Drosophila melanogaster: one gene and its partner. The protein of the gene in region 2 interacts with the protein of the main gene of each other region in a pairwise test. Each region holds a gene or a part of one and is shown on either strand. Other genes may lie near its edges.

What was found. The genes of interacting proteins can lie anywhere in the genome.
Region 1: the proteins of Glos (region 2) and CG8366 interact in a two-hybrid assay, tested with the Drosophila melanogaster proteins (one large-scale study listed by BioGRID).

Annotation. Positions count from the first base shown.
Region 1 is NT_033778.4:15,953,356-15,957,192, forward strand, and holds CG8366 (uncharacterized protein), read left to right. Parts: upstream 1-1,684; 5' UTR 1,685-1,762; coding exon 1,763-1,899; intron 1,900-1,967; coding exon 1,968-2,161; intron 2,162-2,218; coding exon 2,219-3,255; 3' UTR 3,256-3,281; downstream 3,282-3,837. Other genes in the region: Strn-Mlck (Stretchin-Mlck), read right to left, coding at 71-482, 547-1,418, 1,478-1,523, 3,284-3,452.
Region 2 is NC_004354.4:3,934,985-3,941,138, reverse strand, and holds Glos (gaulos), read right to left. Parts: upstream 4,623-6,154; 5' UTR 4,318-4,622; coding exon 4,200-4,317; intron 4,147-4,199; coding exon 1,984-4,146; intron 1,925-1,983; coding exon 1,470-1,924; 3' UTR 557-1,469; downstream 1-556. Other genes in the region: Gem4b (gemin 4b), read right to left, coding at 1-79; CG2938 (uncharacterized protein), read left to right, coding at 5,142-5,409, 5,783-5,879, 5,960-6,154. UniProt on the Drosophila melanogaster protein: Component of the survival motor neuron (SMN) complex that catalyzes the assembly of small nuclear ribonucleoproteins (snRNPs), the building blocks of the spliceosome, and thereby plays an important role in the splicing of cellular pre-mRNAs.

The DNA.
Region 1 (3,837 bases), on a different chromosome or scaffold from region 2:
TTTATAACTAATTATGTATTCAAGTTATTACAACTCAATATATTTCAATGAACTAAAGATTTATACTCACTTGAACTCATCGCTGTCTGGCAGAATCTCGCCATTTCGCAACCAAACGTAGCTGTAGGGTTCATCGCATTCGATGGAGCAGCACAGATCGATCACCTCGCCCTCCAGCGATTTAGTAATCTCGGGCAGTCGTTCCGTGATGACAGCACGACGCCTGCGAATCTCCGTATTCGAGTCGTGGAAGGTGACGGTGGTGGAAGTGATGAGGGGATCGTGGTCGCCGCTTATGATGCAGGTGTACTGGCCTTCATCCTCGCGCGTCACATTGTCCACTATGAGCAGGGCCATCGAGTCCTGCAGCAGGATGTGAACTCGTTCCGAGGCCTCGAGCTCCACGTCGTTGTGATAGAATCTCACCGAGGGCACCGACGAACCCCGATAGCCACTTGCCAGAGCCATGCGTCCGCCAATTGCTGTGGGTGGCATGGTATCAATTGAAATAGTTAAGCTGTAAATTGGGCAAGGAGCAGCACCCACCTGTGGATGGACCCATGATGCGCCTGTACAAGTGGGCATTACGGCGGGAGGAGGAGGCACGCACGCTGCGCACCGAAGGCGACTTGGAGTAGCGGGAGCTGCGGATGACGTCCAAGCGAGCGGTGGCCTCAATACGACCGAAATCGTTCTCCAGCGTGACGCGATACAGGCCGGCATCGTCGAAGGTCACCTCATCGATCTCTATGATGCGAAGGTCATCGATTTCCTTGACGGCAATGCGCGGCGTGGGTGTCACAATCAGGCCATCCTTGTCCCATGTCGCCCACGGTGTGGGATGTCCGGAGATGGCGCACTGGAAGCGCACACTGTCGCCCTCCTCGACGACGCGATTGTAGGGAATGGCGAGAAACTTTGGCGCCGTGATGGCATTCCGGGCATCACTACGCCTGCGTTCCGCCACGCCGGACAGATCGATGCTGCTGGTGCGGTACGATAGGCGCAGGGGAGAGAAACTTCTGGCGGGCGTGGATCTCGGCGTAGAACGGGGCGTGGAGTGGGCGGAGAGCAGGCCACTGGGACGCGCTAGCTGGCGGCTGAGCATATTCTCCTTCTCCTCGGGCACATCCACTATAATGCAGGCGGAAGAGAGACTGCGACCCACCGAGTTCTTGGCCACGCACGTGTACTCGCCCTCATCCTCTGGATATACGCGCGGTATGCTCAGCGTTGCCTTGGTTCCATCGAAAGACATCACGTAGTCCCGATCGCTGGGCATAACATGCCCATCCTTTTCCCAGATGATGAACGGCTCCGGATCGGCCTCAACGTGACATTCCAGCGATATCGCATCCCCATCGCAACAGCGGAGGTTTCGCAAGTTGCGAACGAATCGGGGAAGGGTCTCGATGTTGCTGATTAATTGTTAAAGCTTGTTAATGACAACATATCTTGATAATAAGCTTGAACTTACCCATGTCTCGTGTGCACTTTATCCATGCGGCTTTTGTTGAGTATATCTATTGAAAAAAAGATATTATGCATTAGCACTTTGACTTAGTAAAAAAATATTGCATTTCGAAATTGGCGCCCATTAAACTGCTTGCCAAGCAGTGGTGATTAGTGTCTTGGCTATTTTTGTCAGATTCTTGCAAGAGTGCGAATATATCGATAATCGATAGCAGCTGTGGCCCAATGTTTATTTTTAGCACACCATCTAATTTTCTACTTCTTGTACTCAAATTTTGGTTAAAACAAAATGAGGGGCATGATAATTGTGCCCATGGACCTGGAACCCGGCTTCCGCAAAGCAGACATACACAATATACCCGCTTTGAACAGCGGAATGGTGTACAATTTTTGTCTATCCGGCGCATCTGAGAAATCAAAACAAATGTGAGTGCCATCCCGTTCGCACATATACCTACTGTGTATTCTATTAAAAATTGAATTTTTGCCAACAGACCAACGAATAGATGTGATCTCCTCACGGATTACGTCCAGGTGCGCAGACATGGCGACGTGTGCGAACTCAAGGGACTCGTGTTTTCTGCCACCGACTTCGCCAACACGGTAACTCACGCCAATGTATCGCTTAAGATCGTCGAAAGTGCTCAGATGATCATGGACGGTCAATGCAGCCTGTGCACTGCAGCATGTGAGAATGACTCCATTTGCCACTAATGTCTAGTTCCTAATCTTTAGTACATTACAGGTACTTGTGCCCACATCGTGGCCTTCACCTTCTGGCTGCTAAACAAGAGCACAGATCGAAATCCCTCGGCTGTGGTGGAGTTTTGGGGCCACGAGTTGGAAAATCTGGTGCAACCGGAGCCCACAACTGCTACTCGAATATGTGATATAATTCCCAAGGATGATGTGCGAATGGAAAGCGAACTAAACTCGAAAGAACTTAGCGCCAGCGAGGGAGAGGCTTTCCTAGTGACCATTCTGAATGAACTGGCCGACTGTGGCAGGGACTCGGCGCTCTACCGGCAATGTGTGGAGACCACCGATGAGTTCGAGCCCATGTTCGTACACCATGTGCTGCTCCGAGCAAATGAGTACAATGTCGTCGATCCGTCCAGCTATGTGCAACACATGGAGGCACAGGCACATACGGGTATTATCGAAAGTCTGTACGAGGCAACGCGAAGCAAATACAAATCCCGATTGTGGGTGGAGGTACAGTATATGCGCATCCGTTGCTCCATGATGCACATGATCATAAGCCGCAAAACCTCTGATGATGACGATCAAATCTTCAATATGATGTTTTGCAGAGGACGTGACAAGAATAACGAGGATCGGGTGCAGCAGAAGGAGCACAAGCGCTTCATATTGAAACAGACTGAGAAGCTGGAGAACAAGAACTACTTAGAATGCGGTCTGATCCTGCACGAGAACTTCCCCTTCCTGTGCGCCGCCCCTGATGGCATCACGGACGATCACATTGTCGAAATCAAATCACCAAAGACTGACGAGGACTTCGAGAAGTACCTCGAGGCACGCGAATCTATTGCACCCAAGTACATGGCCCAAATACAAATCCAGATGTTTGCGGCGAATGTTAAAAAGGCGCTCTACTGCGTGCTAAGTCCCACGTTCGAGAGCAACGGAGCACTACACTACGTTTGGGTACAAGCGGATCCGGAATTCGTTAGCAGTTTGCTGAGCATGGCTGAAGACTTCTGGCGGGACGTTGTCTTTCCCCGCCTATTGAATATCTACCCCCAGTGCCCAGGTCAATAAATACATACACATTCACTGTGCTGCTTACCTTTGGCGAATATTTGTAGCGATATTACAGCCTTGGCCTCGCCATGGCAATTGCTGGCTATCACGGAATAGGTGCCGGTGAAATCCAATTTGGCGCTGGGTATCTCCAGCCTGTACTCGGGTCCGTCTCCAATTCGCCGGAAGTGTGGCGCGTCCTTGTAGTACTCCGGCTGCGGGCGAAAGAAAATGTTCGGCGATCAGTGGGTCGAATTGCTCAAGGTCACGTCGCGATGTGCTTGGACTATAAGGACTTGTTGTGCGGCTGTCGCAGATCATGAATCACGACTGTCTTTATACAAATGTCGATGCCGTTGACGCTGACTCGACCGACGTTGTTATTATTGTGTTAAGCTTATGGCCATATAAGCACAAAATTCAGTTTCGAGACTGTCGAATAGGAAAACTGGTAATGGGTATACGTTGCCCACCCTGACCTCCTACTCCTCCTGCCTGCCTGCCTGCCTGCTCGCTCGCTTCCTTGGTCGACTTCGTGCGCGACAGTGGCTAATAATATTTTTTTGTGTATTTTTTTCCTTTTTGGCTCGCGTAATTGTT
Region 2 (6,154 bases):
CGTTGTTGTCATGGAATATTTTCTTCAGCTGGACAAACAACTGGCAATTGTCCAGCGGGTGCTTCTCAGCAGTTATCATCGTGCTGCCGAAATTTCGCGTTTCGTCAAAACTCTTCCGAAGGAATTCAATTTTATGTGCGTCTTCTGTCAGATGACTATCGAAAATCGATAGTTTACCGGTGCGTACCGATTATCTTGCGTGCAAGGAATATTTTTTGAAAATGAAAATGTCCCTACAACAAAAAATTTCGCTTTGTAATAGACTCTCTGATGTAGATAGATACTAATATGACTTGTCCACTGCATGCTATGATTTAACTTTAACTTTATTTATAAACATTTTCATATGATATTTTGTATTTTGCTCAGCTGAAAATTAAATGAAGATATTTTATAAAGTATTGTAATGTATTATTCGATAATTAATTATTTGTATTATTATTGTAATGTTTTATTCGATAATTAATAATTGACATTATAAATATTGCGACTTCTCCAAAGTCAACTGCAGTTTTTTAAACAGTGGTCCTATTTAGCAAAAGTATTTAAAATAATGCGATTCGCATGCGGCACTTGAGTTTGAAATCGAGAGATAGATTTGGAATTCGTACATAAGAATACGAATAATAATAAGAACATGCTAAATTACAATAATTTCAAGCTTGCCAAAGTATTTATTTAATAGACAAAAAACTTGATGGTAGTATCCGCGCGTTCTAACGCACTGTCTCTCTTCTTTAGACGCCGTTCCGATTGCGCGGCCGCCTCCTGACGGCTCGACTCGCGCCCGTACTCTCCTCGACTATCCTCGCGTACGTGTGGCTCCTCGCGTGTTGTGACTGACTGCCCCAAGCTGCACTTGCGCCGTTCCTTTATAGGCCGCGGGGATCCCGTTATTTTCCCCTTTGCGCGTCCAACTAATTTGCCGTTAGTTCACAATGTGTGTCCTCTTGTGCGTGTCCAAAGTCCGCACCGTTACTGTTCGACCTCCGTGCCCTTGGCAGGCTCGAGTCCAAGGTCCAGCGCGGTACCGTTAGTTCACAGTCTCTCCGCTTTCCTGGCGTCCAAGGCCGCTCCCCTGCACCCAGATTTGTGGGGACGTAGACTCCTCACACATATTATTCTGATGTTCGATCATAGCGTTTTGTATTTTATATATGTATGTATGTATATAATACATAATTATACGAATAATATGAAGAACATGCAAAATTGCAATAGTTTTCATCTGAATAACTTCACTTGCTTGCCAAAGTATTTTTTAAATAGACAAAAAATTTGCAAGGCAGTAGTACATATGTTATGTGCATACAGTCATCCTTTTAAAGGACATACAAAATTGTAAAATAATCTGATATCTGGATTGAACATCATCCTAGCGTTATGATTATTATATATGTACGTCTTTAGTCGATTAGCGGCGGTGTTTCGATTTGGCTTAAGAAAATTACACTTCTAACAGCATCTCCTTAACACTTGGCCGCCTGCTGTTCCTGGATATTTATGCCGAATCGCACAGCGAAGGCTTTACTAGCTAGCTCCATAATCTCGTTGCGAATGGAGAATGGAGCCTTGGCCACAACGGCCATCAAATGATCCCAATGCTGGCGCTTCGTGATGGTCTTATTGTGTTTGGCGTGGCTCCGGAAGGCGATCAAATATTCTCGAAATAGGAATCTAAAGGCCATGAAAGCGGACTCGCTGTTCACCTTGACCACTGCATCGCTAAGATCGCCCATAACAGCACAATCGGCCCTTTTTTTAAGGAGCTTGTTGAAGAGATCGTTAGCCTCCTGTGCACTGGACTGAGTTAGCAATTTGAGAAAGGAGCGTGTGTCCTTTAAGGTGTCTTCTTTAAGGTAGATGATCCAAAAGTCCTTGTGCTTCAATTTGCTCACTTGGTTTAAGATCCTCTGGCGGAATTCTGTGAAAGAGCAATAATTAGTAGGCTTTCGTCTTGGACTTACATTTATAAGAGCGCACCAGTGCCTAGGAATGTCAGATGAGACAGACCGTCCTGCCAATACCACACCGCCAGTTCTAAATTATCCACCCGGAAATCTTCAAAGGTGGCCAAGTCCCAGCGTAGGGCATCAATGGTTTTCATGACATGCGAGATCAGCTTCCAGTGTTTCAAACGCCACTCTGGCAAACTGGCATGCAGATATGTGTAGTGCTTGGCCACCTTGACAGCTGGTGCATCGTCTCCGTTCTCCAATTTCGGGTGCTCCTTTTCGAGTGCATTTAACTCTGCAGTGCCTCGGGTGATTAGATTGCTTTCACCCAGACTAATCTGCTTGAGCAGTTTCAAGATTAACTGCAAGCTGGGCAAGTTCATGGGCTCTATAAACTTGGCCAAACCGTAGGCACACGCGTCTAGGAACCTATTTTGCGCCTGCCTAAGCTCATCCTCTCCGTAGGGACACCGTCCGTCTTTCAAACTAACGCACAGTTGTCGCGCTGACGTGTAGAGACCGTTGAGGATCTGTCGGTGGCCATATAGGTAGAGTGTAAACTGCAAGGCATACGGCTTTTGAAGTAGTTGCTCGTTCACCAAGATGTTATCGGCACAGGCGGAAATATGAAAAGCAGCATGCTTGGGACAAGACTGAGCTATGTGCCAGAATAGCTTCGAGAAGCGAGTATGCGTCACGCCCAAGTGGGAGAAATCAATCCAGGTCTGTCTTGCGTTCTCAAAGCACAGTACTAAAAATTCGGTTATCGGGAAGCGCTTATTATAATCCAATTGATTAAAGAAGCGTATGCGACGCTCCCGATGATCGGGAGCCTTGAAATTAAATCCTTGGGTAACGTTTTGCTCATCGCGTAATAGCAGTACTTCCATCTTGTCCTCGACATTTAATTGCATAAATAAGGGACGCAGTACTAGGCTTAGCAGCTCTTCGTAATCATCGTTGGACGAGGTCTCGTCCTCGTCGTCCCCCTGATTTACTTCCGTAACGGATATGCCCTCGTCCTCGACCACCATTTCGGACTCCACCACCTGACCCAGGAAACTGAGTATTATCTGGGCATGTTTCTTGGTGAGCATAATTAAATGATTTGCCATCGTTTCCAGGCACTCATCGCTGCCAAAGGCTATGAAGCGGCTAAAGAGATTGTCCAGCCCGGCGAGCAACTCCTCATTGGTGGCCATACCGGAATCGATAAAGGCCAAGAGTTCACCGATTCTCATCTCGGCAACGCGCTGCTCCAATGTTTTTGCTGCATCCGCAAAGCTCTGCATCTGCTTGCAAACCGGATGCTCTCCGAGCAACTTATCTGATTGGAGTACTTTAAGCAATTCTGCCGTCTGTCTACAGATTAGCTCCTGGCAGTTATACAAAGCACTTTTCGATTTCATTTCATGCCAATACATATACGTGTCTACGCTAACGAGCTGAAAGATACGCTGCAGAACGTCTAGCAGTATTTGGGCGAAATGCCGCAGATCAGGCATGGGATCGCTTGAGTTGCTGTCACTGATGTCCTCGGTTATTTGGCTGTAGACGGCGAAGCAATTTGGTTTCTCCCGCTTTAATGGATCATTGAGGGTATACAAAAGGACTTCTATAAGGTGATCCATAGCCTTGGCCAGGTAAATCTTTCGAGTGGATGGACGCGGCAGCGTATGGAGGCGCTGTTTAGAGTCCAAGATATGACGATGTTCCATGCAGGCTATCTGGCGCAGCAGTTGCTTATTTTCTGCGGGCAAATTGCAGTTGACAATTGCGCGACCGGCTGCTCTGAGGGCGGCAGAGAGCAGCGGTAGTGTTTCCACGCAATCTGAATTAATGACCGACAGAGCCTCATTGAATGCCTCAAAATACTGGATGGTCAGCCAGCGGGGTCCACAAGCAAGGAATTCCTCCAGCGGCTCCATGAGACAGCAGTTAACGGCTATTGCGATGGTCAAGAACAGTGGGATAGGCGGCAGCTGGTTACACAAATGCATGACATTGGCGCTCCACTGCGATTCGCACTGGATATCATCGTGTGCAGTGTTCAGCACCAGGTACACCAGTAGTCCACGCAGGTGATTCATAGCACAAGGATCCATTGTGTCTGGCGGCTGTATGATTAGATCGTGCTCCACCAGCAGGTCCGTCACTTGGTCGCAGATCTTCGCAATGTGCTCATCGTTTCCTGAGAACAAACAATGTTCATATTTGGGCACTAACCTCTGGTACTTCACTTACCACTCCAGTAAATCATGTCCTTCAGACGCTGGACCTTCTCGTTGTAGTCATGAAATAACTTCTTCAGCTGGACAAACAATTGGCAATTGTCCAGCGGGTGCTTCTTAGCAGTTATCATAGTGCTGCCGAAACTTCGCGTTTTGTCAAAACTTTTCCGAACGAATTCAATTTTATGTGCGTCTTCTCGTCAGATGACTATCCAAAATCGATAGTTGCGTACCACTTATCTTGCGTGCGAAGAATATTTTTTGAAAATGAAAATGTCCCGAATACAAAAATTTCGCTTTGTTATGGACTCTCTGATGTAGATTTATTCCTATTTATTTAACTTTATTTCTAATTTTTTTCCTATGATATGTAAATATTTTTAGCTGAAAAATAAATTAAGTATTGTAGTGCCTTATTCGATAATTAATAATTGATATTATTAACGATCCTCCCTTTCGACAGGAATGCTGAGAGATCATCTGTTCGTTATCGATAGTCTTGTATTGCGTTGGAGGGCAATAGACGCGGCTGCCTAACGGCCGGCAAAGCAAAAGCTAATGCTTAAATGGTAAAAAAATAAATGTATATTTGCTATAAAGTATAGTATTGTGTTTTTCGAAATTTGATAATTGATATTATTAACGATCTTTCCCGTTCGCCCACAATGCAGACAAATCAGCTGTTCGGTGTCGATAGTTTTGTGTTGTGGGTGGCGGTCGATAGACGCGGTTGTCTATCGGCCGGCGAAGCAAAAGCTAAAGGAAAGTAAAATAAAAGCCAAGCAAGAGCGAAACAGCAAGCGATAGGAGGAGTCGGTCGCTGCCTAAGGAACAAGCGGAACTGGGTTAAAACATGCCCATGCAATAGGCCAAATTATCTATATTATAGGCCAGACTTTCCGTCGCAGACCGTTTGGTGGTGGCGGTGGAGAAGGCGGCAGACGGCTTATAAATTATGGAGCTACGCGAACTGCGCGGTGGAAATGGTGGAAGCGTAGGAGGCATTGGAGCAGCTACAACCGGAACCCCCGGAGTGTCAGTGAATGGAGCCCCTAGTCCCGAACTAGGCGGCATCTGCATTGGAGGCGCCGCCGGAGGACAGCGTATGCCCACCAGAGCGGATATATTTATGGAACAACTAAACGCCACCAATGCCAAGAAGGTGGCTTTGCTTCTGGTCCTCGGCTTCATCGTCTATCACGGCCTGCTCAACTGGAAATACGGTGGGTCCAAGGTTACAAGATCTTTAAAGATCTAAGTACTATGAAATTTATAATGGATGTGGATACGGAATCGTACCCATTTTAAGATCACAATTGTATACCAATGTTCACTTATTCTTCTCATATTATTAATGAGTCAGTTTGACGTTTGACCATATTCGGTACATTTTAAATAGTAAAAAAGGTTTTTACAAACTTTTAATCTCAAACGTTTATGTAAATATAGATAATCATGTCGAATTTTAAGATTAGTGTACAAATTCTGCAGTTGGTTGGATTAATATAAACGACATGTAAAGTTCATATTTGGGATGTTGGCTGCCATCGTATGCTTATTATGGATATTGATTTGTTTTGTTTTGTTCTCCCGCAGGCAGTGACTCCTGCCAGTGGCTGCTGTCCAAGGGCCGATTTAAGGGCGACAACGAGTGGCAGCCGTACGGTTGCATGGTGCACAAGTACTCCCTCACGTGAGTAATCAACGCACATTCCCGACAAGATAACCCCCCAATTAATGAGTCACCCAAACCGAAATTCTCATTATTTACAGTGACACAAGGCGCTGTTTGCGTTACCTCGCCTTCTTCGACAACAAGAACAACTTTGTGTTCATTGGCGACGAGAGTATACGGCTGCTCTACGAACGATTTGTGGAGCAACTTCGCCTGCCATTGGCCGCGGATGAAATGGCCGACGAGGAGGACAATAACGCCTCGGTGACTGATGGCTCAGCCCGTTTCGAGGA